Oryzias latipes: one gene and its partners. The protein of the gene in region 1 interacts with the protein of each later gene in a pairwise test. Links are inferred from orthologs where the notes say so. Each region holds a gene or a part of one and is shown in the gene's direction. Other genes may lie near its edges. The genes, in order: homeobox protein Hox-A1a, nell2, nov, chic2, fbln1, thrombospondin type-1 domain-containing protein 4 and chrd.

Evidence for each region.
Region 2: the proteins of homeobox protein Hox-A1a (region 1) and nell2 interact in binary tests that used the Homo sapiens proteins (3 or more experiments, as listed by UniProt). The link is inferred for Oryzias latipes from reciprocal best matches to the Homo sapiens genes HOXA1 and NELL2.
Region 3: the proteins of homeobox protein Hox-A1a (region 1) and nov interact in binary tests that used the Homo sapiens proteins (3 or more experiments, as listed by UniProt). The link is inferred for Oryzias latipes from reciprocal best matches to the Homo sapiens genes HOXA1 and CCN3.
Region 4: the proteins of homeobox protein Hox-A1a (region 1) and chic2 interact in binary tests that used the Homo sapiens proteins (3 or more experiments, as listed by UniProt). The two-hybrid records come from large-scale screens. The link is inferred for Oryzias latipes from reciprocal best matches to the Homo sapiens genes HOXA1 and CHIC2.
Region 5: the proteins of homeobox protein Hox-A1a (region 1) and fbln1 interact in binary tests that used the Homo sapiens proteins (3 or more experiments, as listed by UniProt). The link is inferred for Oryzias latipes from reciprocal best matches to the Homo sapiens genes HOXA1 and FBLN1.
Region 6: the proteins of homeobox protein Hox-A1a (region 1) and thrombospondin type-1 domain-containing protein 4 interact in binary tests that used the Homo sapiens proteins (3 or more experiments, as listed by UniProt). The two-hybrid records come from large-scale screens. The link is inferred for Oryzias latipes from reciprocal best matches to the Homo sapiens genes HOXA1 and ADAMTSL4.
Region 7: the proteins of homeobox protein Hox-A1a (region 1) and chrd interact in binary tests that used the Homo sapiens proteins (3 or more experiments, as listed by UniProt). The link is inferred for Oryzias latipes from reciprocal best matches to the Homo sapiens genes HOXA1 and CHRD.

What each region holds. Positions count from the first base shown.
Region 1 is NC_019869.2:11,315,105-11,319,728, reverse strand, and holds homeobox protein Hox-A1a, read left to right. Parts: upstream 1-1,530; 5' UTR 1,531-2,006; coding exon 2,007-2,610; intron 2,611-3,014; coding exon 3,015-3,382; 3' UTR 3,383-4,059; downstream 4,060-4,624. UniProt on the Homo sapiens protein: Sequence-specific transcription factor. Regulates multiple developmental processes including brainstem, inner and outer ear, abducens nerve and cardiovascular development and morphogenesis as well as cognition and behavior.
Region 2 is NC_019864.2:12,486,479-12,490,504, forward strand, and holds part of nell2 (protein kinase C-binding protein NELL2), read left to right. Parts: intron 1-1,126; coding exon 1,127-1,320; intron 1,321-4,026. UniProt on the Homo sapiens protein: Plays multiple roles in neural tissues, regulates neuronal proliferation, survival, differentiation, polarization, as well as axon guidance and synaptic functions.
Region 3 is NC_019874.2:10,618,906-10,623,567, reverse strand, and holds the start of nov (protein NOV homolog), read left to right. Parts: upstream 1-1,533; 5' UTR 1,534-2,022; coding exon 2,023-2,112; intron 2,113-2,314; coding exon 2,315-2,543; intron 2,544-2,637; coding exon 2,638-2,892; intron 2,893-3,325; coding exon 3,326-3,549; intron 3,550-3,659; coding exon 3,660-3,962; 3' UTR 3,963-4,662. UniProt on the Homo sapiens protein: Immediate-early protein playing a role in various cellular processes including proliferation, adhesion, migration, differentiation and survival. Acts by binding to integrins or membrane receptors such as NOTCH1.
Region 4 is NC_019859.2:11,116,075-11,120,808, forward strand, and holds the start of chic2 (cysteine-rich hydrophobic domain-containing protein 2), read left to right. Parts: upstream 1-1,517; 5' UTR 1,518-1,709; coding exon 1,710-1,840; intron 1,841-3,982; coding exon 3,983-4,037; intron 4,038-4,153; coding exon 4,154-4,309; intron 4,310-4,734.
Region 5 is NC_019881.2:6,843,988-6,848,464, reverse strand, and holds the start of fbln1 (fibulin-1), read left to right. Parts: upstream 1-1,370; 5' UTR 1,371-2,184; coding exon 2,185-2,239; intron 2,240-2,324; coding exon 2,325-2,430; intron 2,431-3,201; coding exon 3,202-3,337; intron 3,338-4,477. UniProt on the Homo sapiens protein: Incorporated into fibronectin-containing matrix fibers. May play a role in cell adhesion and migration along protein fibers within the extracellular matrix (ECM).
Region 6 is NC_019874.2:19,040,022-19,044,047, forward strand, and holds part of thrombospondin type-1 domain-containing protein 4, read left to right. Parts: intron 1-2,506; coding exon 2,507-2,669; intron 2,670-3,219; coding exon 3,220-3,501; intron 3,502-3,660; coding exon 3,661-3,790; intron 3,791-4,026. UniProt on the Homo sapiens protein: Positive regulation of apoptosis. May facilitate FBN1 microfibril biogenesis.
Region 7 is NC_019871.2:18,963,179-18,967,204, reverse strand, and holds part of chrd (chordin), read left to right. Parts: intron 1-476; coding exon 477-624; intron 625-1,445; coding exon 1,446-1,552; intron 1,553-2,781; coding exon 2,782-3,061; intron 3,062-3,147; coding exon 3,148-3,389; intron 3,390-3,466; coding exon 3,467-3,580; intron 3,581-3,748; coding exon 3,749-3,940; intron 3,941-4,026. UniProt on the Homo sapiens protein: Dorsalizing factor. Key developmental protein that dorsalizes early vertebrate embryonic tissues by binding to ventralizing TGF-beta family bone morphogenetic proteins (BMPs) and sequestering them in latent complexes.

The sequences.
Region 1 (4,624 bases):
TTTCCTGTTTTGTTGAAAGTTATTAATTAAGACAGTTTTTCTTACCTCAATGGCAGATTTCTTTGCTTATTAAAAGAAAAATTTTTAAATTTTAAGACTTTTCACTTATTTTCTAAGGGATCTGTTTTTGCAGCAAGTTTATTTCCCTACAAACCAAACTCACTTTATGTATCTCTTGGAAACTTGAAAAAAGAAAATGTTGTTTCTATTAACTCTGAATTATTTCAGAGACAAAAATCACCATGTTGTAATTCAACTTCATTTAACAGACCAGCAACATGTGGCACCGTGATACTGGTCTGGTTATGGTCTGGTCAGGGTAGCAGTTTGGAGAAAATAAGTCTCCAAACCGTTGTTACAGTTTTCAACAAAGTTAATCTTAAAACAAAACTTTAAAAGTCTAAAAAGTGGGAAAACTGCAAGTAGTTTTATGCAGAAAGGGATTTTTTAAGTTTTGCCCTCACACATTGGGAAAACGTATAAGGTTGCATAAACTAAAAACTTCAATTAAACTCAGAATCATCTTAGAAGTCTGTATCTATAGAAAACTACTGACCATGAAATGTTAATAAACATCAAGTCTGCTTGACCTCCTATAGCCTGTAGGGGCGCTCGTTCTTCCAAGTGACTCCCCTCTTTTGCCTCCCTCCCTTTTCTTCTCCTTCCTTTTCGAGAGGTTGGGGATCTGCCACCACTGCCCTAAGTAGCCCCCCCCCCCCCCCCCCCCCCAGACCTCTTCTCTTCACACTCATAGATTTCCCCATTACTTTTTGGTGCCATTAATATCTCCACGAGCTTTACGCGAAGCAGTGTAATCAGGAGCGCCAGGACAGACCTCATCCTGTTATTTTATTTGATCACCATTTATGCATAATGAAAACACGCAGAGGATTGCAGGCAAATGGACGACCCCGCGACCACGGGAGAAAGAAACACACTAATAACAACTCAATCTGAAGCCCTGTGTTGTCTTTGCCGTTTCATCATTCTTGACATTTATTTATTTGTACGCATTCTGCTTTTTTGCGCGTCATTTTACTGCGTCACCACAAGGGGCGAGCCGGGATGTGTCGGGGTAAAAAGTTCAGGCCGGGGTTGTCGTTTTTCACTGCCACATGCTGTGAAGTGACACGCTCAAAACAGATGTGCAGCGCCACGTCACTTTCTTGTGCATGCTAAAACAGATGCACAGAAAATGCAAAGCCCAAGAAGGCTTCTGTCAGTGGAAGAAAGTCGGAACCCCTCTTGCCTCTCCCTCACTGTCGCACTGTGACAATATTTGCAGAGAAAATCCCTTAATGTTCAAGCGTGAAACATTTCGCATTAGAATGGGACATTAATAGCCCACAGATAGCCTATGGCAGTGGCACACGCACTCTGAGCCATCCATCCATCTACAGGGAGGGTGACACGGTTATAGGCTATATGATATCGCGCCTATAAAGCGTGGAGGGCACGAACGTGCACGCGCTCCAACACACACGCATGCAGACAATGATCTCTCTGTGTTCCAAAAATACCGTACCTGGGGTCAAAGTGTTGGGCCGTCGTCATGTCAGGCTGCGGAGGGTGACTCGCTAATCTCTCCCTGTGGGAGAGCGGGCAGCGGGGGTTACGGTACAGCATGTCTGCAGCGTCCCGCTCCTCCTGCGACCCCGGAGCTGTCCACCGCCGTCTGACTCCCAGCTCATTGTTTGCTTGGCCCATACATTAGTGGCGGCGCGCGTCACCTTGATCGACGAGCGCTTGGAATTTAAATAGCCCCTCAAACACCAATCTGTCACCGGCTAAGTGGACGAGGACAAGTACCTTACTGGCTGACCCTGGCCCACGTGACAGCACCCGTTCATTGATATCACCCCACGCGCCCTCCTTCCCTTACTGATAAGAACTGAGTTAAGGTACAAGTTGGCAGGATCACTTAGGGTGAGAGTGGGGAGCGGCAAGACAGCAGAGGGGTGTCTGCAAAGAAGACAGTCCCTCGGTCAGGGCACAACAATGCTACAATGAGCAGCTTTTTAGACTATTCGGTGATGAGCGGAGAAAGTGGGTCGTGTTCGGTCAGAACCTTCCACTCGGACCACGGGATTACAAGTTTTCAGTCCTGCGGGGCTGCTGTCAACAACTGCGGGGCGGATGAGCACTTCATGTCAAACAGGACGTCTCCCGACAGCATCTCTCTTCATTCGGGGTCATACCAGTCTACTGCGGGCTCGCTTGGTCTCTCTTGCGGGGCCCATCCGGCCTGCAACTCCAACTATGGACCCCAAAGTTTCTGCGCCTCTTACAACCATTATACTCTCAACCAGGAAGTAGACTCAGCTGCATTTCCTCAGTGTGGCCCACTCATGTATGCAGGTAACATATCCTCATCCGTGGTCCCTCAGCATCGTCATGGTTACAGTGCCGCCCCCCTGGGTCAATTGCAGTATACCCACGTTGCCTATGGCGGCGGGCATGAGCAGACAGCCGCGTATCCTGTTGCCTCGAACCCCCTGTCCCCTCTGCACGCCGGACACCTGGAAGCTTGTTGTTCCCCTCTGTCCGAGGGAGCAGTGGCCGCGCAAACTTTCGACTGGATGAAAGTTAAGAGGAATCCACCAAAAACAGGTGTGTGCTATCTTGTTTTTGTGTGTGCATGGACGTATACGTAGTGTCTAAAACAAGCGGGTTAAATGATCCGAGCTTTGAGCTGAAGGGCGCCTACAACATGCTTCTTCACTGGACGCACTAATGTGTAAACGAGATTAATGAAAGATTAATAGCTAAAATGTTTGCTTCTGGAAAAAGTTTACATCTTTACATTCTCAGAAAATAATGTGCTCTAAAGTATATAATAAAACTTGTATATTTGTTATATTAAATATAAGAGGATAACTACTGATCGATGCGTAAAAGTTATCAGACGCTGCGTAAAAGTGAAGTTATGACGACATTGTTCCAGAGTTTACGTTCTGTTTGATGACAGAAAACCAACCAGTCTGTTTTTAAAGTGAAGAATTTATTGCCCACAGGGAGGTCTGGTGAATATGGATATTCTGGTCAGCCGAACACTGTTCGAACCAACTTCACCACCAAGCAGCTGACAGAGCTGGAGAAGGAGTTCCACTTCAACAAGTACCTGACTCGGGCTCGCCGTGTTGAAATCGCAGCTGCGCTGCAGCTGAATGAGACTCAGGTGAAAATTTGGTTCCAGAACCGGAGAATGAAGCAAAAGAAGCGCGAAAAAGAAGGACTCATGCCAGCTAAAGTTTCTACCTCAGACCAGGGAGAAAAAACAAACGATGCTGCGTCTGAGAAGTCAATCTCGGCTCCCTCCACCCCCTCCCCCTCCTCATCCACGGTGTCTTCCACAGGAGCGGATGCCTACAATTCAAACTGAGGACCAACTGCCCTCCTTTCCTCTCTGGGCCACAGCGTTCTGTATTTACCTAAGTTTACTTGTATTGAAGTTTTTGTTGTGTAGACATCCATAAATTGGAAAACACTAGGGATCCTGGACAATTGTGATTTCTGGAGTCAAGAACTGTTATATATTGTATTATGTATCTGTAAAAACAAAGGCGCTGCTGTCCAAACAAGCCCCATTGCGTTAAATTTGGCTCGAAATTTGCCAAACTTTGTTAGATGGTGTCACTTCTACCTGCCAATTGCTGCTATAATCAAAAATCTGCTGACAAATGAATACCTCAAAGGTGCCCAAGCTGTGCATTCCGATCACACGTGTGAACGCACTGTGCCATCACCAAGGCAACACACAATCAACGAGAATACCTCGTTTTTGAATGTTTAGTGAGTGAACTGTTATGGTTCCCCTGTTATTTATCTGTTTCAGGTGTCTGTGTGTCGACTGTTTGAATGTATTGTGAGATTTGCAAGCTGCCTTCACGTGTCATGACTGCAGTGGCGCTGAGTTTTATCAGTTGCGGAACAGGCCGTTCAAAGCTTTAGTGTTTCAGGCTTTGTATATATTCAATCCCGCGATGCACATGCAAACTGTTTTGTCCAGAGAGACGTTTACGGGTCAATCGTGTGCATTAAAGTCCGTCTCGCTCTGAATGTTTTCTTTCTTGTCACGTCTTTGGGGGAACATGTATTGGGATGTTGGGTTAGAATTTATGCACAATACCCACAAGATGTCTGCAGAAAAACGCACAAACTTTACGTGTCGGTTTTACGCATCAAGCCTGACAATGAATGCGGCTGTGCGCGCGGCCATCCCAAGGGTCAAAGGTATTGGCATAATAAAGGCATGTTTATCCGCGGGGAAGATGAGAGTGCGAGTGTCAGCAGCGACATTTGTGATGACAACCTTATCGAGCTCTCGGCTTATATTGAGGGGACAAAAAGAAACTCTATTGATTGAAACATCCAGGTTATGCCACTGACAAGGGTGGGAGCCCCACCACTCTCGTCTTCAACAACTCCACAAGTTCAACAAAAGTGCCACGATTTCCCCTAAACGACAAGATGAACTATGATAACTTTCAGCACGGGATGTCACAAACGGAGTGTTCACAGAACAACGTCCAAAGAAACAATTTACCTCAGATATTGGGCGGCAAAATAGTGGAAAAAATAGCAACAACAAAAACGTAGCACTGTGGGAACATGGTTGGAGTTT
Region 2 (4,026 bases), on another chromosome or scaffold:
TCACTAATCTGTGCACACAAAGTGCTAATTTTAGTACACAAATTAATTAATTAAATATTTTGTGGGCGCATATTAGTATTTTGCTTCCACAAAATAATAATATGCGCCCACAAAATACCAATTAGCAATGTCTGTGAACAAACTAGTATTTTTTTGGCAGAAATTTCAATTTTGTGTACACAAATGAGCGATTTCTGTAAGAAAATTAGCATTTTGAGCTTATAGGTAAGTAGTTGGAATTGAGAATAATAAGATATCCATTGTGTCCTTACAAAAAAGTAGTTTGTTCAAAAAAATTACTTATTTCTGCTTACAGAATGTTTGTTTGTTCTCACGAAATGCATCCTTGTGAGCACAAAATGCTAATTTAATTGCAGAAAATGCTAATTTGTGAGCACAAATGCGAATTTCTGTTAACAAAATACTAGTTTGTTGAGAGAAATTGCTAATTTGGGTGGGCAAATGCTAATTTTTGCCCACAAAGTGCTAGTTTATGTGCACAAAATGGTCATTTTTGCCAATAGTATACTAGTTAGTTCACAAAAAAAGGCTATATTGATCCGATAAAGTGCTTCTCTGTCCACAAAATGCTAACGAAATGCCAACTTTTGGCCAGAAATCACTATTTATTTGGTTACTAATTGTTGCCAAAGATGGGAATTTGAGGGAACTAGTTTTTTTTTTTTGTATGTGTATTCTTCCTACTAAAAATGTCTCCTTTGCAGCCTGTTCTTTTTCTGGGATCTTCTGTGTGATTCAGCCTGTCAGAAAGCATGTCAAAGCTGTCAAAACGGAAACCCTCAATCTAAGGCAACATTGAAGCAATGCTTGTAACAATAGCTGAAGCTCTTTTACGCTCACTGACCTCATCTTTGCTTTTAGTTTCAGCCTAAATGTGAAAAAAAAAACACATTTCAAAGATAAAAAATCTGCCTGACAGCTATAAGATTATAATTTGACCAAAAGTGGGTTTCCGGGCTACCTTGTCGTTCCAGTAGTGTTTGTGAAGTGGTGTGTCCTTATATTTTATGACTGCTACCGATATTTTTATCTCATGAATTTGTAATCACACTGGAAAAAAAAGGAAATGCAAAACCCACTTGTGTGATTGTTGTGCTCCTTGCAGATATAAATGAATGCAAGACAGGGAGAAACACCTGTGCCAATGACACAGTGTGCTTCAACTTGGAAGGAGGATATGACTGTCGGTGCCCCCACGGGCATAACTGCACTGGCGACTGTATCCATGACAACAAGGTCAAGCACAGTGGGCAGATTTGGGTGCTGGACAATGATAGGTGCTCAGTGTGCTCGTGCCAGGTAAGTAGAGTGAGGTGGGGAATAAAATAAAAATGTAAAAGAATAGAAAAAATAGACAAAAAACAATTCTAAAGTGATGCTTTACTGTTTTTTTTCTGTTAGAACTCTTTTCATCCAGCTTCTTTTTTTTTCAAGCTTTGTTTTTTCTCCATCTTCCAAGTGTGCAAACAAAGAGCAGGAAAACAAGTTTAAACTTGCTCTGTTTGACTGAAGCTGTCCCCCACGGGGCCAATCAGCAACAAATGTCAGCTTCCTCTGTTGTACAAGCACACTCCTCTTCTCCAGACAGTGTGTGACATTTAAAAAAATAATGAAGCAAACCAGCAGAATGAATGATACTTTACTTTCTGTTTAATTAATTAAGATATGAGCAAAACCGTGGCACCTTCAGGCTAATTGCCAAATGGACCGATGGCAGCATACGTTTTCAGTTACTCTAAGTCATTTGGAAAAAGTGATCCTCCTTGACCTTTAAGGGGGAAAAAGTTTAAAATCTTGGATTTGTACTAAATCATATTTTATTCACCGCTTCACTGGAAAGCTGAAATTGTTAATTGTAGTTTGCACTCAGTCATGGTTAATAATTAAGTAGGTAGTGTGTGTGTGTGTTCATAAAGCTGCACAAATCAATATTTTATAATACCAGTGGGGAAAATAAGTTTAGCAAAATGTGCTCAGTGGCAAATCCACAATACTGAACTACTAAGTTTGCCTCCCAACTGGTGTGTAGTGACAGAGGACACACCAGCAACCTAAAAAAATATAAACGTGACAGTCTGTGTTGATGTACAGTCTCTTCACGATCTCTCATGCATTTTTTTTAATAATTGAGGCACAAAAAATATGAAGTTGCAGCTGTTTTTCCTAAAATTTGCAATGGTTTTTGATAATACATTTCAACAGAATTAGTTGAAAACTTGCCCAGGTTGTTGTTTTTCCCTCCAGTTTATTAAAATGCAGTTTCGTGTAAACTTCACAAAAAACAAATAAAAAGAGATTATTTCTAAGCTGGTATTTATTTTTGAATATTTCTTTATGTTGGTGCAAGAGCAATTTTTGAACAAATATATAATCACAGCATGTTTGATCAATTGTATACAAAAACAAACCCCATTATATTCATATCTATTGGTTTAATTGTAACTACATAAAAAGTGAAAACGCTGAAGTTTATTAGTTTTTCTTCTGTCTAAATCAAAAGTGTAACTTTAACAATTTTTTTTGTGTGATTAAATTGTTTCATTTCAGTTTAAATGTGTCTGTTGGCCACTTCACCTTATTGCTGTTTCTTTGATTTTGTTGTTTCTTATCTTTAAACTTAACTTGCAAGTTTTTCAATAGTGACTAAAGTCTGAAATTGATTTTTTCAATATTAGAAAGCAGTTGTTTCTTTTAAAAAGATTATTTTACTCACCTTTTCACAATCTGACACCGGATCCCGCAGGTAGCTACTAGGGGTTCACCGATGATCAGTACAGAAATCCATTGTCTGTTCACAACAAAGGCGATTTGCGTTTCAAATATGCGTCTGCTTTTGTTTTAACCCTCAAAGTGGCTGCTGGACGTTTGTCCAAAAGTGTCTTTATAAATCGGACGCTCCTGCACCGTGTGGGAGGAGCCACTGTCAAAAGTTTTTCTCGCCCTCCTCATGAAAGAAATAGAAGATGTTGAAAGATCCGGTGTATTTGTATTAATGAGCTCCACAAAGTCGGCAAACTACTCATTGTAAAGCCTTAGCCCATTTTGATGAACATAGAGCTGATATTCTGGTCAGGATAAATGTTTTTAGATAAGTGACCTAAAACTTCCTGCGGCACACCTCTCCATCTCTCATGGCACACTGGTGTGCCGCGGCACGTTGGTTGAAAAACACTTGTTTAGCATATGGTGTTCACACTCGACTGATGCTACCAGATACTGGCACATGTCCGCCCCCTACAGCTAGAAGAGGTTTGGTGCAAAATTTGGAAATCTCGTGAATCTTGATCCGGCTTTTTTTTTTTTTACGGTTCTACTCTGATATATGAAAAGCCTTAGTGTCATAGAATTCCTTACGGGTACAAACCGCAATTGTTTAATTCTTCCTTATGATCATTTGAAAGGGAATATCAAAAGTGAAAGCGATGCCATTCATACACCATGGTCAAAGTTCGACCTGATTTAAGTCTTGAGGTGCGTTCAATGGACGCTCGTATTTGTACATAGGGCCCGAAACGTAAAAACCTGTGTGTGAATGCAAGAGTTTTGTGAAGTGCGCATGTACGTGCAATTACATAGACTTTTCATTGAAAGTGGTCCCTTGAACATGCGTTCCCGAGGGCAGTGTGAACGAAGCTTCACAATGCAGCTTTACATTTTCATGTATCATTCATGTCTTTGGTCCTCAAACCTCCAAGAATATAAAGGCCCAGACGCAACAAACGTTTTTGTTTAGTCACAAAGTTGAATTTTAGCTGCCTGTTCGATGGAAGTTGGTTAGCGCGATCACTCAGGAGACAAGAGTTTTTAAGTCAACATAGCTCAAAATGTTGTTTATTTAGCTGCAGAAGCTGAATTGTATCATTTTACATGAATGGGATCAGTTAGACTGGAAATTCGTCATGAGAGAAATAGTTCTAAAGTGTGGTAAGAATCTGCATGTTTTCCAAAAAAAAAGGGACCTACAAGCTCTCAATACCTTCAAACCTATGATCTTGTTTATGGTGT
Region 3 (4,662 bases), on another chromosome or scaffold:
CTGGGGGCCTCGCGGCGGTCCTGCTGGCCCTGGCCTGGGTGGCGGTCTTGGTCGCCCGGGGGGCGGTTGTTCCCTACCTGTTCCCGTGTGGCGTTGGGGGGATTCCGGCTGCCGCTGCTGCTGCGGCGGGGGTCTGGGTGTGGGGGTGGCTGGGCGCTCCTCCTCTTTCTTTTCTCATTCCACCATCCATTTTAGAAGAACATAAACACTCACCTGAACACAGGTGTTAGCTCACCTTTGCACTAATAGTTTGTATGATTGAATGAATGAAAGATTTTACACTAGTTGGTTTAAAGGCATAGGTATGTGTTTGTGAACACTATCTGTTTTGTGTGCATGTTGACATGTGGACATTTTTGCAGCTAGCAGGTGTGTTGATAACATTTCAGTGTGTGTGGACAGGCCCCGCCCTTTTTGTACTACATTTGAACCGTACCGTAATGATAAACAACCAGTAAACCTGTCTGCTCTATGCTGCTTCATGGTCTTACCCCCCCCTCTCACTATCACCCCCCCCCCTCTCTAACATCCCTCTCTCTTCTTCCCTTCTTTCCTTTTCGTCCGGTCCAACACAAAAGATTTTCAAACATGGTTGAAATTAATAAAGTTTGGCCTCAATTACAAAAGGGGTTTATTCAGACATACCTTTGGTTTGTCTGAAGATTAATAACCCCTCTTGTTAAAGTAAAATATGTCCAACACAAGAGGCCCTCAGCTCTCATCTGCCTGCCTAGCTGCTGGACAGGACAAGTTTAAAAAAAAAAAATGTCTGCAGAGACACTTATCTACGTTTAATGTTGACAATGTCATTATCTTAACCAGCCTGGTTTGTTTTCCTAGTTGTGTTCTGTATTTGTAAAAAAGTATAATGTCTCTTTTATGTCTGTGCATGCACAATCCTGTAATATGTGTTAAACTAGTTAACTAGTTAATAAGGGCTGTAATTGGATATTTTTTTCTAAATAAATGATTGAATAGGTCCTTGGGGAAAACCCTTCACCCTACTGTCTAACTATGTAGCCACAGGGGGGCCTAAGTCTGGGTCACCCTGTGCCTGTCCCCAACCAGGATAAAATACAGGGTTGTGTCAGGAAGGGCTTCTGGCGTAAAAAATCTCTTTTACATCACCTGTGTAAATCAGTGAAAGCTGATTTGCTGTGGCTACCCCTAAAGGGATTTGCTGAAAGGCGAACAACACTTCATTAACTCATTAGCCCTTTTTAAACAATAAACATAAGTTATGATCAACATAAAAGCACCCATTAAAGACATTAATGTGCATAAAAACTTTACATCTGTATTTATAGTTTCGGTTATGTTGTCGCTGTCAGTTTAACCATAAGTCTCTTTAGCCTAATCCCAGACTGAAATTGAACTTTGAACCTTTTACATCGCTTTAGTTTCCCTTACAATGTGACCAAACACTTTTGCTCAGATGAGCTTTTACCAGATGTGTCCACAGCAGTGTGCCACCAACGCAACACTCACAGTGTTTTGGATCACATATGGCCCAAAGTTTCCACTGTGCAGCTATTTCAAGAAAACTAAACAAGTCTGCAGGGAATAAAATGGGTTTTCCATTGTGACCTCCCAGGTAGAATTTGGAAAGGCAGGTCAAAGAGGGTAAATGAGGGAATTCAGCAGGATGCATGTAATGAAAACAGCAGCAGAAGGAATCTTCAAACAGAGAGTCCAGGCTTGAGAGGAACATAGTGATGTTTGAGGGGAAAAAAATATGAAATAGTACAGAGATTCTGCTCAACGCGGCGGATGCTTGTCATGGTCATGGTAGGCTCTTTGAAAAGATTTTGCAATGAAATGTGACTCTGTCCATCATCAATCTTTTCCAAAATTCCTTCTGTTTGGTTGTCAAGGTGCCAGGGGTAAAGCTCGCCCATATATAAGGTCTCCACCTCACAGGCTGAGCCTTAGAATGACAAAGAGAGAACATCCTTCTGCTGAGAGAAGCCTAGACCCACGAGCTTCAGTTTAGTAAACTGCAGACAGCATAACATTTTTCTGATGCTGCAGATTTTTGATTGTGTGTTGCACAGGAAGAAGATGCACCATTGGTTGCACAGAAATGTCCTTTTCAACTTTGTGATAGCACAGGTAAGCCTTAGTGTTCTTGTAAAACTGTTTTACACATTTATTTACTGCTATTACCTGTTTTCTGTTCTATAATTTCACAAATCCCTTTTTTTTAATGTTATGTTTTTTTTTACTTATTATTGTAGCACATAATCCCACTTAGACTTGAAGTCAATGTAAGATTTACAGATATATCAAAGAAGCCTCTTGTTTTTTCTTCCAGGTTTTCACTCTGGCCTGCTCCCAGGTGTGTCCACGGAGATGCCAGTGTCCTGAAGAACCCCCCATGTGCCCTCCAGGCGTGCCTTTGATCTTGGACGACTGTGCCTGCTGCCTGGTGTGCGCCGCTCAAAAAGGACAGGTCTGCTCTGAGATGAAACCCTGCGACACGCGGAAAGGGTTACAATGTGACTACTCTGTTAACACCCACAAAAGGACTGGTGTCTGTGCTGGTGAGTTTTCAGCACCTGGAGCCTCATCTTCTTAACATTTGTAACTCCTTTCTCCTGGTAACACCTTTTCGTGTGCTGGGTTTCTTCCCTACAGTTAACGCGGGTAATGCCTGTGTGTTGGATGGTTCTGTGTATCAAAACGGACAGACCTTCTTCCCCAGCTGTAAATACCAGTGCATGTGCCATGACGGGCAGATTGCTTGTGTGCCACGATGCAACCTGGACATCATGCTGCCTGGTCCAGACTGCCCCATGCCACGCAGGGTCCATGTTCCTGGAGAGTGTTGTGAGAAGTGGGTGTGTGGCTTGCGGGCAGAGGCCAGTGCACTGGGCAGCCTGGCCATGGCAGGTGAGTGACCAGATTGTCCATGTTGTCCTTCATTATTCACAAACATGGAGGACTTTAACAATCTGCACTGTAAAATCTGAATCTTAAGAAATTAGAGACTTGTTTCGAGAAGAATTTCCTTAGATTTTGTCTTGCAAGAAAAATAATCTCATCAAGAAAAAGTTTTTAAATAGCAAAGTAACCTTAGTTTAAGAAAACATGTCTTAGTAACTAGATTTTTTTCTTAAAATAAGAATTCTTGATTGGACCATTTTTCCCACTTCATTGCCAGATTTATTTATTTATTTTCTTTTTTAAAGAGTGCAAATTTTTTATTCATTTCTAGGAGGCCTTTTGTTTCAGTGTGCATAGGAGCTGCATAACTGCCTAAAGTAGTATGAAAGTTTTAAGAGCTTCTTTTTCCATCAGTACGTTTGTGTTTGTGTATATTCAGCGTTTCGTCAAGAAGAAACCGTGAGCTTAAACAGTTGGGACCCCAGCCTGAACTGCATTGTGCAGACCACAGAGTGGGGGGCATGCTCTGAGACGTGTGGCATGGGGGTGTCCACCAGGGTTACGAACAAGAACGATAACTGTGAGATGGTGAAGCAGAGCCGGCTTTGTATGATCAGACCATGTGAGGGCCTGCAGGAACAGCTGACACAACTTCCACCATCGGTACTCTTCTCAGAGGAGAAATCTCTTACCTTTTGTGATTTTTTAATATTTTATGACTACATTGCCCATTATACTGCATAATAATTACACAACTGTGTCTTTTTAACCAGCAAAGGGGTGCGAGGTGCCAGAGGACGGTGAGGAGGGACAAAGCCATTCATCTGACTTATAAGAACTGCACCAGCGTGCAGGCCTACAAGCCTCGCTTCTGTGGTTTCTGCACAGACAGCCGCTGCTGTACCCCCCACAGAACCAAAACCGCACTGGTGGAGTTCCAGTGTGCTGAGGGAAAGACCACCAGGAGACCAGTCATGGTGATCCTGACATGTGTCTGCCACAGCCACTGTCCCAGAGACAACGCTGCATGGCAGTCATCAGAGACTGGTCACACTGGAGTCAAACTGTGGGCATAGTGTATTATATATATGACAAAAACAGCAAACGATGACACAATCAAAACTGATTCAAGACTATTTGTGCTCATAAAAATATTTGATTTTATAAAATCTGTATCTTTATTGGAACTTGAACGACTTGATCTCTCCTGGAGAGAGATTCAATGGTTAGATCATGTGATCAAGTTATTTTCTTATTTTACTAGTGTTGAGTCCAATGCAAGCACTTAAACGTGGTTCCGTATGCAGCTGCAACTGGTCTGCAAGTTCTTTACAATATTTTAAGACAACTTCTGTTTAAGAAGTTAAAATTAAAAAAAAAAAAAAACCAGAAAATCAACAGATTCAAGTTAGATAAAAGTGTAATTTATTAATAACTAAAACAAATAACCAAACAGGTTGGTATAGAAAGAAGTTATGACTAATTCAAAATGGTGGCAATTCAACCAGCACCTATAAAGGGCCGATCTCATGCAAAATCAATTTTTTTAAGTGACTTATAATGTTCATTCCTCACAAAAAGAAACCCCAAAGCGGTATTTTGATCTATTCACGCATTTCTGAGTATTCCTCTAAAACCCCCAGCTCTGAGCACCAGCCCCTCCCAACCCTCGAAAACGAGTGGGTTTTCACATTGTGACATCACAAAGCGAGGAATAGCCCCTTCCAGCAAGAGTCAGTGCTGCCAGCCCCGCCCCCAGGCTAACGCACACACCCA
Region 4 (4,734 bases), on another chromosome or scaffold:
TTTGCTATGCTGATGGACAGGCTGACAGACGAGGTAAGACAGGAATCTCCCTGGACGATGATGTTTGCGGATGACATTGTAATTTGCAGTGAGAGTAGAGAGCAGGTGGAGGAACAGCTACAGAGGTGGAGGTTTGCTCTGGAAAGAAGAGGCATGAAGGTCAGTCGTAGTAAGACAGAATACATGTGTCTGAACGAGAGGGATCAAGGTAGAAGCGTTAGGTTACAGGGGGCTGAGGTGAAAAAGGTGCAGGAGTTTAAGTACTTGGGGTCAACAGTTCAGTGTGATGGGGAGTGTGGAAAAGAGGTGAAGAGGCGAGTGCAGGCAGGTTGGAGCGGGTGGAGGAAAGTGTCAGGAGTGTTGTGTGACAGAAGAGTGTCAGCAAGACTCAAAGGAAAGGTGTACAAGACAGTGGTGAGACAAGCTCTGCTCTATGGGTTAGAGACGGTAGCAGTGAGACAGAGACAAGAGGCTGAGATGGAGGTAGCAGAGATGAAGATGTTGAGGTTCTCCTTAGGAGTGACCAGGTTAGACAGGATAAGGAACGAGTACATCAGAGGGACGGCTCATGTTGCCTGTGTTAGCGACAAAGTCAGAGAAGCCAGACTGAGATGGTTTGGACATGTTCAGAGGAGGGATAGTGGATATATTGGTAGAAGGATGTTGGAGATGGAGCTGCCTGGCAGGAGGGCAAGAGGACGGCCAAAGAGGAGATATATGGATGTCTTAACAGAGGACATGAAGTTGGCTAATGTTAGGGTAGAAGATGTCCATGATAGAGTGAGGTGGAAAAGGATGATTCGCTGTGGCGACCCCTGATGGGAAAAGCCGAAAGAGAAAGAAGAAAGACACAAAACGTATTATGTGAGTAACAAATCACGCACAAATCCAAATTTATGCACAAATCCTAATTTACAAACGCACAAAGCAAGAATATGCATACACAAATTCTAATTTACGCACAAATAAAGAATTACGCACACACAAATCTGAATTTACGCACAAATAAAGAATTACGCACGCACAAATCCGCCTGAGTCTAATTTCTCTCTATATTGGACGCAGAGTTAAAAATATTTCCTGAAAAGGCTGAGCCTGTTTTTTTTATGAACAATTACTGAAATCAATTTTTTATGCATATATTCTTGACGTTTTCGTGCTTAAACCAGTGCACAATTGAACTCCATTTTAAGTAAAATAAAAATGTGAAAAAAAGTTTATTTATTTATTTATTTATTTATTTATTTATTATTTTATCTATAGATTCTGGAGAAATACCTTTCTCCACAACATATACACTTGATGGTAATGTTAAAACGGTGAAAAGGCTAAAAAGATGATTTAGGTAAACGAAAATTCTCTCCATGGATTAAAAAAAGTGTAATTGTTTAATGGTACGACTTTTTACTAAATTTTAATCTGATTTTTTTTTTTCATATTAAAGATTAAAAAAAGAAAAGAAGAAAAAAAATCCAATCTAAAACAGATAAATCGACGTAAAGATTCGCCCGTCCCTCTTCCGGTGTCGTACGGTTACTGCGGCGGATGTTGATGTTTCGTTTCGGAGCTCGCGTAACGATGTGAACCACTCTCTGTTTTATGACTTTGCTTTCTGATCGCTCGTGTTTTTCCCCGGTTAGCTTTCACTGCTCGTCCCAGCCGTGTCTCTCCCGGTGTCTTTACCGGGAAGTGCGAGGCTGAGCCGTGCGATGATGGAGGACTTTGATGAGATATACGAAGAAGAGGAGGAAGAAGAGGACGAGGACAGGGCCGCAGAGGAACAGCTTCTCAAGTACGCTCCGGACCCGGTGGTGGTACGAGGATCTGGCCACGTCACTGTGTAAGAACCGGCCTAACTGTTGGTGGTCGTGAGGACATTTTTTTTCTTTATTGTTGTCGTGTGGCGATTTGTAGCCGCGGCTTTTATCTAGAAAAGTAAGTGCTAACTGTGTTAGCCGCTAGCTAATACAGCTAAATTGTTAAGCTAACATAATTAAGCGACTATTAGCCAAAATATGTCGATTTAGCTTCGAAAAAGTCCATTTGATAGTTTGTAAAACATTTTGAATTTATCACACAAAATAAGAATAGTTTATTTCAGGCACTGTCAAGTCAGTTGCTGAAAATTGTGAAACTTTAGAAAATACTTGTCATATGTTTGTGTTTACTTACTAGCTAGCAAAATGTACAACAATAACATTGAACATTTGATTAAAGAGAGAAGTCTTTTGCAATATGCAGTTTTTAATAAGGCCATGGCTAACAGAAAATCTAACATTTGTGTTTATATTCAGAACATAGTCCTAAACTGTTGAGTCAAAATACAACATTTCCTGTTGGATTGAAATATTTTTAGTCCTGTTACCAATTTAAACAACAAAAGGTTGCTAACTAGTAAGACATGCTCTGAAAAGTAAGACATTGGAAAAGCTTGCTGAATGGAAAGAACTAAAATATTAGCATTTAGGTTATATGTAAGTGATAATGGCAGACGAAGTGTGGATTATGTATGGGTCATTAGATTTATTGAAAAATGGCTTCCTATAGAGGACAGCTAAAATCATTTTTTAAAAGGAAATTTTAGGAACATTGTCAGATTAGGAAATCAAAGACATTGTTTATTTTTCTTCAGAAAACATCCGTTTTCCCATGAATATCTATATATTTTTAGACTTCTTGATTATATGCTTAACAACAAACATACTGCTGCATTGGCACACAAATGGAAAACAAAGTGTCTTGTGTAAATGACACTTCAGAAATAAGAAAACCACACAGTTTTGATGGTTTTAAAATGTGATCTAAATATATGTCATTAATAGATATAGTTATAATGGTTAGTCCCACTCAAATTATTTTTTATATATTCTAAAAGCGTTCCCAGTGGTCTTTTAGTAATGATTATGCCATTTTTAGACAACAACAAAAACCTTTGTTTTCTAGGACATTTTAGAAATTTGTCTCCGATCTGTGGGTGTGATTGTTGGCATGACCCAATTTCCCATCATCCCTTTGTCTACACTCTTGCATTCTAGCTTACAGTCCCTCACAATACCAACCTAACATTTCTGGTCCAACAAAATTGGCAAGCAATATTGAAGCTATCCAGCTGTATAGTTTAGAACCAGATACCAGCTCAGAAGAAGAAAACAAAGACTTGCATGGATCTAGTCGTCTGCAAGTGGATGCATCATGGAGTTAAGCAGGGAGCTTGTTAACGGCTAACTGTAGCTATAGGTCAAAGCTACAGGCTTTTTCAAATGGCATTTTTTCGTCTGCTCCTGATTCACAACAAATTGAATAAAGAAATACTCAGAAATGCAAATCTAATCTTAATTTTTTTTATATATGTCCTCCATCATGAATAAAGTGCCGCAAAAACATGTTAAAAAACACTAAAAACAGAACTTTCAGCAGAGAGGGGCTTTAATAAATAATAATGGTTATGATGAACGGTTATAAAGAATTAAGTGCAGAACCGGTACGACCGACCGACCCCAAATCTATGAATGTACATAATTATTATTATTGTTAAACTATTTCCACACCTTCTGAGCATTTCTTCTGGAGTGTGTAAATAATTGTACCAGAATGTGACAACCACCGTTTACAGGCATTAGTAGCAGTGTGAGAGCTGTTGTGTTAGTAGTAGTGTGTGTTTGTTGTATGGGTGTCTTAAGTAGTGCGTGTGGGATTTTCAATTTTATGTGAGAGTCTTTGTAGTAGGCGCTGCGTTTAAAACTGTAAACAACGGCTTAAATGGCTCTTTTTAATCCCTTACTGAAGTTAATATTTTAGAAAAGAGTTCACCGTTTCTCGGTTTGAAAGTTACACTTATCGGGTTTCGTTTGCCATTATTTTCTCACATTTATACTTTTGAGTCACAAAGGGGGGTAGTAAGCAATGGAAATTGAGTCCTGGGCATTTCTAGCCTTGGTCGCAGTGTGATTGATACATTTTGATTGTACTTTCTGTCTCACAGGTTTGGACTAAGTAACAAATTTGAGTCCGAATTTCCCTCAGCGCTAACAGGAAAGGTGAGTCATCAATTTTGCGTCATATTTTTGCTCTAATTTCCTTTTAAACTTTGTTTAAATGGGACGGGAAGATGCTAACGTGGATGAGCTTGAATGTGAATTTTGACTCCCCATAGGTGGCACCAGAGGAATTCAAAGCCAGTATATATCGAGTAAACAGCTGTTTAAGGAAGACCCTCCCGGTGAACGTGCGGTGGCTGCTGTGTGGCTGCCTGTGCTGCTGCTGCACGCTGGGCTTCAGTTTGTGGCCCGTAATTTGCCTCAGCAAAAGGGTGAGGAAACCCACAGCCACACTCCTAATCTGTTTAGACCAGGAGTCTTTAACCCATTTGGTCCAGTTTCCTACTGACCAAAACACAGCAAGTCCCACTTCACCATTTAGAAAAATCCACTGTATTTATCATTCTGTCTCCATTTAGTCATTTATTATATATACTATAAAGCTTTTCCATATTTACACTTATTGAATTATAACACTGTCAAATGTTTCTGTTCGTGACATTTTTAATTCCTTTTACTTTTGACAACAGCACATGTAAGTCTCTTTCAAAATAAAATACACCCGTTGTTAAATACGCTCCTCCTGCTGCAGCAGATTAACTTGAATTAAAAATGCAAGAAAACCCAGTCAAACATGCCATTTTCTATCATGACGACTCAAGTGTGCCTTCATCATATTTCTCTTTTTACCCGTGAA
Region 5 (4,477 bases), on another chromosome or scaffold:
GCGGAAAAAAACATGGATGATTTCAGTCTTCCGCAGTCCCCTACATTTCCTGCAATGACCGTTTTTGCATCACATTAGTGTCTGTATTTACAGCGACACTGAACCGCAGCTGCAACATGGAGAAGAAACCCATCATTTATCTTTATGTGACTGAAAAACGCACAGATGGATACGTATTTAAGTTTTAGCTTACTGTTGTACATAATATGTGCTAATTCTGCAGTTAAAATCAGAACAAAACTGTTTTTGATTCAGTATTGCATGCAATATTATTACCTATGTTATTAGCATTTTTTTGTGTTTATGAATTTTTTTAAAAAACATTCTAGTCATTTTTATGGGTTTGTTTCTTTATCGTGCTTTATTTTGATTGGTTTCTCTGCCCAGGAAGCACTGCAGACTGTTTTAATGTGAAGTGCCGTAAATACACCCACACACAAGCCGCTACAAACAGCACTTGTTCAGATTTTAATAACGTCTTATCATCGGCAGACAATGCAGAAAAAGATAATCCACTTTTTCATCTGTTTCCCAGCTTTTGTCCTTGCCCGCCCGCCCGCCAGGTCATGTGTAAAGGCGTTTAAAAGCTGGGGATGGTTAAAAAGAAAAGAATCAATGGTACAGAAAATATTTTTAGTGAAAATTCGCCTGTAAATGAACTCTTGAAATGATGAAAAAAGATCCCCAGAATTTACAATGTTTATAATAAACATGTTTGTCATGTTTTTATATGTGAATTTTTTCTCTCTCAACAGTTTGTCTTAGTTCATACATTGCAAGGATTGTCCTGTTTTCCATTGGTAATAGTTTTTTTTTGTACCTAAAGTGTAAAATCATTTTCTTTAACTTTACACTTTACCTAAAGTGTAAACCAGCATAAAATTGTCATTTCCTCTAGTTTTGCCTGTACGAATTGAGCCATTAACCCATTATAGCTACCCAGTTACAATAGAAAATCATTTAAAATGAATAAAATAGTACATTTAGAAAGCACAAATCTCCATTGATGAAAGAAAAATATGCTGTTTACTGTCTGGGTTTATATGTATTTTTTTACACATACAGTAAAACGCCATAGTCAATCTTTTTATCTCTTTTCACTTCCATTTCTTTTACATTTGTGTTGGTTCAAATGGTCTTCCTAAAGATAAATCAAGATGTATTTCATCATTGCAGAGGGGAAACACTTAACAAAACGTAAACGTCTTTTTAGATCTTTATAAAGCTTTAATGTCTGTTTGTTTAAACGTTAATTTCACACTGTGTTTTTTTAATCCCTCCTTCACTTCAGGATTTAAAACTATCTTCAAATCTAATTTTCTGCCTTATTTTGAAATGCGAGCGGAAGAAGATGGATGGATTTTGACATTCCAACGAGTATTCTGAGTTGGACTGGACCATTTGTTTATAACCCATTTTGTCTCTTCTTGCTCACGGACTGGCTTAACAACAAGAAGAACTTCAAAATCTGTTTGTTTTTTAAGGATTTTACTAATTATTCGGAGACATTTTTATTTCAGTGAATATAGTCTGAAGAGTAACGTTTTAAATAACTAAACTGATAAACCTCAAACTTGATGCGTCCCGGTAAAGAGTCACGCGCGCATGATTGATTAGTATCAGAAATGTAGCGCTGTATTGGGTATGCTATTACTAATTAGGGATTCAAAAACAAAAAATGTTCAGTATTATTTGAATAATTTAAGCTACTGTAAAATAGTGACAATTTGTTCATTTATGTAGGACAAATGTCAACATTGGAAACACTGTGATTCTGTCTCCACGAAAGATTGCATGGGTTATTAATGATAAATAGTAGTGTTATAGGTATTGACTTTTTGCAGATAATGCCAAAACCAAAATGTGTAAAAAAGGGCGAAAAACCTTTATCTTGAGCGCTTTTATTAAACTTTCCTATTTGGTGATCAGTTATTAAAACTAATCCAGGTTTTTCTGGAATTTATGAGAGGCAAACTGTACTTTGTTTCAGTAAGAAGCGCCCGCCGTCGCGCATTAAAACAAATCCCATTATCAGCCGCGTCTTAATCATTCTGCGTCCCTGACAGAGAGCCTGCATCTCCCCGCCCTCTCCACCCACTCAAACCCTCACGAGGCCGAACTGGGATGTGCTCCGTCCCGCAGGACTCCGCTGATTCTCCTGCCGTCTGAGCAGAGCGAGCCCCCATGGCGCTGAGGATCATTCTCCTCCTTTCTGTTGGAGGAATTCTGGGCTGGGAAGGTGAGTTTCCCCCTGTTTTAGAGATGAACTTTCACACCACGATCTTTAAATATCTCATTGTTTGGACCTGCTTACTAAAATGCAGAAAACAAGCTGCTGTCTGTGGAGGGGTGCTGTAATCTTGGGAGGGCGACTGCCATTAGGGAACATGACTGTGCAGCTCAGAAGGTCCTCACCTCTGCTATGTGCAGGTAAGCAACACCTGGTTTGGGGGGGGGGGTCATCACATGGGCTTTCTCAAGTTTTCTCAAACATTCAATTAAAGTCAAAATTGTGCAAAATTAGAGGCAGGTGAAAAAATTCCCCCCTAAGGCCACAGACGTTTTGGAGGGTCAGCGGCAAATACCAGCAGGGCGTATTTTAAAGACCCACTTCCATGAAAATTGTGTTGTTTCTTCTTGTGTTTTTTCTCGAGATGGAGGACATATGTAAAAACATTGAACTTAAAATTGCCTTTCTGAATATGTCTTAATTCAAATCGTTGTGAGTCAGGAGCAGATGAAACTTTTCAATTGAAAAATCTTGTAGGTGTGTGGAAACTCCCTGCTCCCCTCCATTCTGATGCATCCACTTGTAGACAACTAGATCCATGTACGTCTTTGTTTTCCTCGTCTGAGCTGGAATCTGGCTCAAAACTGTACAGCTGGACAACTCTGACATTGATCACCAGTTTTTGTTGCCCAGCTAATGTTAAGTTGAGGATGTCAGGGGCTTTAAACTAGCTGGGGAGCATGTAAACAAAGGGATGATGGGAAATGAAAGCAGGCTCATTTGGTGCCAACAGGTGAATCACTAATGAACTACTGCTCCTCTGCAGAAACTGTCTTAGAAAACAGCACAGTTTTTTTGTTTTTGTTTTTTGGCTAAAAACAATCTACAAATAAGAAACGCCATGGGAACGCTTTTAAAATGGATCAAAAGATGATCGGAGTGTGACTTTATAGTTTAACTTGACTTTCCAGCATCATTCACGAACAGTGCTGTCGAGCATCGGCGGGGGAAATGGCCTGCAAAGGTGGCATCAAGACGGCCCGGGGGCAGGGGGCTTGCGAGAGGGCATTCTTCAGTGGATTCGATTGGCAAACCCTGATATCACAGGTTAGCTATGAGCTCACCTGGACGACTGACTGTAAACGAGAACTGGACTGAGAGACTCCTATCCCCTCACGGTCCAAACAGGAAGTACCCACCAGTTCCAAGAAGCCAAAGTCCTGTAGACTTCCATAGAGAAATAAACAGCTATTAGTCAGTTGTTATATTACTCAGAATAATAATTCTTGCTCTGATACCTTTTTTAACACAATCTTGCTAATCTTAATTTTGTTTTCTGTATATTATTCAAGTTATAAACTGACCAATCAGATGCCTCAATAAAAAATACCTTATTTTCTGCACCATAGAGCACATAGGATTATAAAGAGCACCGTCAATGAAAGGTCTATTTTTGAACACGTCATCTATATATATAAGGCGGATTATCGAGACAAAAGAGTCATAGATAAGTCTGTCAGTTGATCAGACTGTATTAACTGCATTCACAGTAACTCTAGAACTTATTACACGTTAGCCACATTAGCATATTTAGAATACCTGTAACTCCCAACCCTGTTTGCAACTTGTAAAAATACAGACTGATACCGCTAAAACAAGCATTGCTGCTAACCTTGTTAGCAACACGTAAAAAAAACAACACAGTCCGGCTACATGTTAGCCGCGTTGACATATTTCCAATAACACCCGACCTTGTTTGCGACTCAAAAAAACATAACAACAGACAGACATTTTGACCGAGTGCCGTGCACTTCTTAAAATCACTTCAACATTATTGAACACAACCAGAATGAATGCGCCATCTCACATTTGAAATGTTTGAGTGACAGATTCCGTGTTGCCTGCTTTAAAGCGTTGGGGGGTGTGGGCTTTTCAACAAGCCCACTCCTGCTTTGGCGAGATGGTGATTGTCAAAGGAACGTTGACTCAGAGCGACTCGGACCAATCATTACTGACTGACGTCGTCGGGCTCCAACATGGCAGCCTCCGCATTGAAAAAAAACAACAACAAAAAAAACGTGAATGAATTGTCTCCATTTGGTTGGAGCCGGAAGTAACCAATTTCTATGGCTGACGTCTACGGCTGCACCATATGAGGAAAACTTTTAGTGATTAATATTGTTATGACAATGTGACTTTAGGTACATGAACAAATAGTAATAAAAAACAACAACTAATACATTATTT
Region 6 (4,026 bases), on another chromosome or scaffold:
ATAAAGAAGGAATCTGCAATAGAATATGGATATTAAAGTAAAACATTGAAAACCAGAAAAGAAAGGCTAAAGCCAGATTTTTGATACAGAAAGTCAAATTACCATTTTTGTCTATTTTTATTTCCTGTTATGTTATACTTTTCTATATCCCTGACCTTTTGTAAATCTTAATGTGCTAACCATCTTGGTAAAATTGTTAGTTTAACTAAAATACGATCCCAGTTTCAAAATTGTTAATCTGGTAAATTGCAATCAAAATAATAAAACATTTTCCTGACAGACCCACTTCGATTATCTTTTGATCTATTGTAAAAGCATTCCCAGTGGTCTTTTTTATTATGATTATGCCGTTTTTAGTCAAAATCAAAAAACCTGTGTCGTTTTCTAGGACATAGTTTCTGCAGAATGGCAGGAGTTCATTAGAAATTCACCTCTGAGTTGCAGGCGGGACTGTTAGTGCCCCCGATTCTTCTCCCCGTTGCTCAGAGCTTGGAGCTCTTTTTCAAATATAATGTGTTTAGCTGCACATTATCAACAACAACTTGAAAAAAGAAATGCTCAGAAATGGAATTTTGCGCTTTATTTTCTTCCTTTATCATCAGAAAAATCCACAACAAATGTTTAAAACACTATTTTAATCAAAGTGAGTTCCTAACGTGATCAGTAATGTCCTAAGTTTGCTCCAAAGATGTTTGCTCCGAGATGTCTCGCATGAACTCAGTCATGTGAACACATCACTCAATAAAGGAGCATAGATAAAATCCTCTGTGGTTATCTCACTCCCTGTTCTTTGATTTTTTTTTTCTTCAAAAACCTTTTGTTTTAGGGGCCGATATGACTGCTCATCCATTGAAATCTCTGTTGATGCGGAAAAAAAAGTTTCTCATTTTCCTCCGGGTAGTTTAAATCCGCACCAGGCCACACTGAAATGATCAAAGCCGGTCCCATTCATCACAGTGCATCACAGCGGAACACTGGCTATTTGGTCTAATGCACTGCTCTTCTCCTTCACTCTTGACATAAAAGTCGCCCTACGTTTGTTCAACAAAGTGATTAGAACATTTTAGCCTGGAGTGTGTGAATGACATCCAACTCATTCTGTCACTAAACAGCAAAATTAATTTTCAGTCATCATAACCAAGAATTAGTCTCTCCAAATCTCTTAATAGTCTTTGAAACTTGAATTCTGAAAGCTTCTGACTTTTAGAGCTTTTTAAACATTTTCAGAGAAAATTAAGGTTTAAGATTTTTTTATTATGATCAACATGACATAGTTAAAAAAAAATACATATGGAGAAATTGTCCTTTTTGAGTTAAGTGCTGAAAAACCTGTGGATGTCTTTCTTCAAGCCTTCAAACACACAGTCCTCCTCAAAATAGATTGAAATAAACCAATCAATCAATTAATCCCAACACAACATTATTGGGAAATCTTATTTTTGTCATTGAACAAGAGCTACAATGGTATGATGCTATCAATGACAGAAAATCTTTTAAGCCTGGCACATCGACAGCCAGGGTTTGTTTCCCAGGTCTCAGGCAAGACCCTTCACACTTTTGGCTAACCATTTAGCCACAAGGAAGCCCAGGTCTGGGTCTCCCTGTCCTAGCCCGGATAAAATACAGGATTGTGTCAGGAAGGGCATCCGGTGTAAAAGTCTCTGCCAAACCAAATCCGTGCATCAGTGAAAGCTGATCTGCTGTGCTGAACAAACTCTTTCTAGCCTCAGATCAAAATTTCAACTGTTAAGCAGGGTGGTGGAAGCATCATGTTATGTGGCTGCTCTGGATGCTCTAGCATCCTTAAAGCAATGAAAAGATGTAAACTAAAAATACTTTATGGTAAATCACTAGAAATATGAAGCAACATCTTTAGATAAGAACAACATTATATTTTAAAAAGACAAATGTTTTGCTGTAAATGGGAAACAATTCTAATCATTTGAGATTTTAAAGAAATTAGAATTTTGTACAAAGGGTTTGCTGTTTTCAATACAAATAAAAACATGGATGCAGCTGAGTTGGTTTGTATGTGACCACACAGCTTCATGCTACTGAATCTAATCAATTTTCCAAACAACTGTAGCAAAAGTCGTCTGCTGCATCTTTTCTCTTTGTAAAAAGGTTCCCAGACAGGCAGCCTTGTTTTACCAACATGCATGGATAAAGACTGATCTGCTTAAGCTCACTGTAAACCACATTAGGATGCCTATGTCCTAATAATAACAGATCCAGTTCAAGAGCAGGGATCTTACACTGCTTTCTTTCAACTTTTGTCCAAAGAATTTAGCTACTAACTTTAAAATGAACAAATGTTGGCACAAAACTTTTACTGATTATGTTTACACCAACATGACAAGATTAACTTGACAGACTTTGCATCATCGCCTGAATTCCTCTTAGGGGCAGGGGTCCAAAGTCTGCAGCCTATCTTACGTCTGACACTTGCGGTTTTTCCCCAAGGGTTTCTTTATTGCAAGATGAGTATTGTCTGTTTTCTCTCCAGGTTATTTTCCACAAAGACAACCCGGGCATCGACTATGAGTTTTACATGCCTGTGGAGAAAAAGGCAGAAAAGGAAAAGCTGACGGAGAGGGAAAGGGAACCCCCAGTGGAGATACCCAGAGAGAGGCCACGGGAGCGAGACACGGCGAGGGCACCCCTTCGCAGTAAGACCCCTTTACGATCGTACGATCTCCCTACCCACTGACAGAAAATCCTTTAAGCCTCAGTTGGCTGCGTGCAGGAGTGGCGCAGTATTCTATAGTTTGCATGTGCTTAGCATATCACTAATTCACACAAGCCCCATCCTAAATCCATCAGGTTTAAGAAAGGATGGGTTGAAGGTGAGATGATCTTTCCTAATTACTGAAGGAAACACGACAGAGAGGCGTAACTGACGTCTTTTTGGATTACGATGGGTGTGGTTGTGAACCACATAGAAGGGAGTCTTTTATTAGCGTTTTTGTGTGTGTTTGTTTGCCATGACCCAGATGGGAGACTATCTGCTCAACATATTTGCTTGTCATGAGACCCTGACCTCACCATGACATCATTAGCCTGTGACTCACTGCCTTCCTCTTGTCCTCACAGTTTTTGCATTTACACCTTCTTTCACCTTTCATTCCTCCCTCCTCCTTGTGTTCCTTTCCCAACCTCCCGCCCTTCCTGTCCTGTCTAATTTGTCCATCCATGTTTGTCTTTTTATTGTTTTCCCAGGTCCCCTGACTGTATCAATAGAGGACCCACCTCCTGCTTCTCCTCCTATTTCGGGCCCTTCCTTTCCCTCCCACTCTTCCCCCTCCTCCTCATCCTCCTCCTCGTCTGTATTTTCTCAACCATCTTCAGACCGCTGGACACCTGAGAGGACGCGGCAACGAGGATCAGCGCCCAACAGGAATGCGCGGATCCCTCCTCGCACTGACCTGCCCCCAGACACTCAGCTGCCGTTTGTGTGGAGGAGAGGTGGCCTTACGCAGTGCTCTGCCTCCTGTGGCAAAGGTCAGCCTCTAAAAAGTCCTGAAGATATCTGCATATTCACCTTACTATAAACTTCAGTCTGCCTTTTAGCATGATGTGATGTCTCCCTCCGCTGGTTGTGGGGTGTAAGTGCAAAAACACGAGAAAAACAGCTTTGTCCATTCTGTGCGTGTCTTATAGGTTTTCAGCATAGAGTCATTATCTGTGTGAATCGGCAAACAGATGAAGAGGTTCCAGAGAGGAAGTGTGACTCTGCAGCCAAGCCTGTTCCCGAGGAGGAGCCGTGCAACACACACTCCTGCCCACCATTGTAAGCGAACCACATTCAGCCATAAAGAACAATGCATTCTGCCTAAAATATTAAACATTCATTTCCTGAATTATTGCTGCTCCCACAGATGCAGTGACTACATTTATTTTACTGCAAAAATAGTTTATAAAAAGTGTTTGTATTAACAATTTCAATTTATTATAGCTGAAACACAGAGTTGAACACAGTTTTTTTTAAATATACAGATGCCTGTTTGGTATTAATGAGTAAGAAAG
Region 7 (4,026 bases), on another chromosome or scaffold:
GTGCTGTTTTGGCTGCTGTGAGTTTCTGCTTCATGTATATTTATGTTGAACTCAGGCCTGCAGTCATAAAAGCTACATTTCTTTAACACCCTCATCCGTCTGTCCCAATAACTCAGTCGTCCTCGAAGTCCGCTCCGATCCGTCTGCTTCAAATCAAAGTTCATGAGTTACATCTGTGAACGCAGCTCAATTCCCGCCTGGAGGTACAATTTGGCCATCTCAGTGTCCTTACGTAATATAAATGTTTGTCTTGAACGCTCTTGTCTTGCCGTCATCTTTGTTTAGTGCTGATTCTCTTTGCTTTGAACAAACTCAAAACAGAAAACTCTCATCTGTCTTTAATTTTAAGAGGTTGTTTTGTCGGTCAGTGTTGCACCAATACAAGCTCAGACTTTCTGAAGACAAGTTTTCATCCTTGGCATTAGGAAGGCTTTTTTTTATGGAGAACGTTTTTCTAATGTCAAATTCTTCTGCAGGATCCAGACTTTGCAGAAGTACTGACCAACTTAACCAGCCGGGAACTGTTATTGTTATATCGAGGTCAGCTGGAGATAACCATAGAAACTCAGGGTCAAGACCCCCGGCGGATCTCCGGATTCATCACCAGCAGAAAGTCCTGTGACAGTAAGTGTTTCTGGAGATCTTCTTCATAAAATTTAAAAGCCTGAAACTTCTGAGGCTCCTGAGGATGTGGTTTGTGTCCGTGTTGGCTTATGTTTCTGTGTGTGTGTGTGTGTGGGGGGGGGGGTTGTCCTTCTGATCTGTAAATACTCTGACTTTCTGTCTCTATTCTGTCTTGTCATGTTTATGGACTCCATTTATGACTCAAACACGGACAGCAGAGGAATGCTGTGGTCATTCGGGTCTGAAAACATGAAGACACACGATCTTCTAACAGGAGATCAGCCTGTCTCTTAGATATTCTTGCTGTCAGTTTAAACCTGCACAGCAATGCAGGTGTGCAAAACATTTGCAAAGTCTCACACACGGGTCTGGTCAGGGTCACAGCGTGCTGGTCGCGACTCTTCGCCGCTCTTCCAGAGCGGTGATTAACAGCTCGACGTCATGTGTAAAGAATCTGAGCCCAGCACACAACTCAATCCCATCATGTGTTCCTCTCATCGTGTAGTTTTGGCATTGTTCCTTTTCACGTTTTCAAAGTTCTTTTCTTTATCCTGCATTTTTCCTTCTCCCCCCACTGTTACCCCCCCCCCCCCCCCCCCCAATCCCCTCATCTCAATCCTCCTTGAGGTTTCCCCGTTCATAAAGGGTTAGCTCATCTTTAAGCTTTCTCTTGGAGAGTTTTATATTGTTGTGCCCAAAAGTCTGCAGGTATAAACCTGAGGAGATGATGTCTTGAAGACGGTCTTTGCCTCATGCTGGAGCTGCCCCATCATCATAACAGAGAGGGGCACGCTTCTGACCTTAACCTGCTTTTGTCTCAGCTATTCAGAGTGTGATGTCCAGCGGAGACACATTGACACCAGGGAAGACGGGAGGTGTGGGATCTGCCATCTTTAACCTCCACAGTAACGGAACGCTGGACTATAAGGTCAGCAGGTCTACTAGATCTGTCAGAGCAGATAACTGACTGAATTTGGAACCTGGAACGAGTGAATGTGACATCACATCTGAAAATGGCTTACCTTATTTTCGCCACTGTAAGACACGCTTAAAAGCCTTTTAAGCCTTTTTTTTTTTTTCAAAAAACGACAGTGCACCTTATGTTCCATAGCACCTTATACATGGATTCATTCTAGATGTACACAAGATAGGACAGGGGTTAAACAATTTTTGAGAGGTACACAGTGCGCTGTCAAAATATTTGTTGTGTCAGATTTTTTTCCTTTTGTGTTACCAACAGAGTAAGGAGTTAGTGTATTCACAAATGTTTGTTTTAGTGGCATCAGTCTTTTTTTATGTGTTGCAAACAAGATTGGGAGTTGCAGGTGTTGTAAATCCACAAACACTTATACATAATTTCAAATATAAACCATTTATATATGGTGCACCTCATAATCCGATGCTCCCAATAGTGTGGAAAATGCCACACTTTTGGCTCCAGCCAAAATAAGTCAATTCAATTGCCATTTGTCCGCGATTCCGACGCCGAAATGTTGGAGCCAGACGTTATCAGTAAGCAGTGATTGATCCGAGTCGAATGCATGATAACACATACAGAACAATAAGAAGAGGATTTTTTTTTATTTCCAAAGAAAAAATGACTGTTATGATAAACATGAGGCTTTTTTTGGACACTTGTTTCACAGAATTTATGTTTGCTGGTGATTTTTGTATTTAATTAGGTTTAATTTGTTTTTTACAGCGTGCTGTGTTGATCTGTTAATGTTTATTGAACAGTTTCACTCAAGATCAGAGAGGAAATTCCTCTGAAATGAACTGTAAAGCTACAAAATTATCAAAAAGGACCAGACTACCATAAATAGGCTGCTTTTCCCAAAGTTTTTCCATTTTATTGAACTATAATTTTTAAACTCCTAAATATCTTTATTTTATCCTTTCAAATTTCTATTTTTAGACCTAAGTTTGATCACAATGAAATGATGAAACCCATCCATGGATTTACTCAGCCTTAACTTCAGCTTAACTTCTTAAGACCTGACATCCACATGCATGGACATCACATTTTGGGTTAAATAGCTGCAGTAGTTAATTCTTCTTAACTGGAGCCCTGTGACTATGTGTGTAAAGGGTTAGCTCAAGTATTAGCTTGGGTTTTAGGGGGTTAAACAGTCTTCAGTATGTCATTCTGTTCCTCAGGTCCAGGTGGCGGGTCTTAGCAGCGAGGTCTTGGGCCTCACCATTGAGCTGAAGCCCCGGCGCAGAAACAAGCGCTCCATCCTTTACGATTTGACCCCAGAGTACAGTAAATCCTCTGGTCAGGCAGAGGGCAGTTGGAGTCCCATGGAGGCTCGATACATCCACATGCTGCTGCAGAACGAGCTCTTCATCAATGTGGCCACGGCACATTACCAGGAGGGGGAGCTCCGTGGGCAGATCAAGGCACTGCCATACAGCGGTCTGGATGTGCCCAGATACGGTTTGTAGTGCCGTCACTCTGCTTCATGTCAGATTTCTTCTGCATGAGTTTAAACACCTTTGAATATGTTTTTTTGTCTCCTTCAGAGCTCCCCACCCCTCTGGCTGGATACTTTGTGTCCCCTCCTGTGAGAACCGGAGCCTCTGGCCACGCCTGGGTGTCGGTAGACAAACAGTGCCATTTGCACTATGAAATAATAGTTGCAGGTCTCAGTAAGACCGATGACAGCACAGTGAACGCCCACCTCCATGGACTGGCTGAGATTAGAGATTTGGAGGACAGCGGCTCTTCACACAAGAGGCTGCTGACAGGTTTCTTTGGCTCCCAGGTAGGTTCCCTGTTTGATGACCACGATAAGTTCAGACTCAACACAGAAACACAAAAGATTCTACATTGACTCCTCAGGCTCAAGGAGTTTTAAAGGACATCAGCGCTGAACTGCTGCAACATCTGGACCAAGGAACAGCCTTCATCCAAGTCATCACTAAGATGAACCCTCAAGGAGAAATACGAGGAAGAGTATGTAAAGCAAAGCCAAATGCAAAACCTTCACGACAACTTTACACTGATTCTGATAAAAAAAAACACACAAAAGGAAACATGAACCCTGCTGTCAATTCAACATGTACCACAAAACCTTTGTGACAGCTTTTGTCTCTAAACTTTTCTTTTTGTTCCATTCTTGAGGTTCATGTCCCGAACAGCTGCAAGTTTGGTGTTGGAGGAGATGGGGAGGAGGCCGAGTTCGGGGACTTCTTTGTGAAGGACCCTGAGGAGATAAAGAAAGACCCCCACACCTGCTTTTTTGAGAACCAGTACCATGCTCACGGTTCCAACTGGACCCCCAACTATGACCCGTGTTTTTCCTGCAGCTGCCAGGTAAAGACAAGGCGCCGATCACGATGCAATAACACATGCTTGTCTCGCGGAGAGCTAAATGTCTCCAAACTCACAGGAAGTGAAAA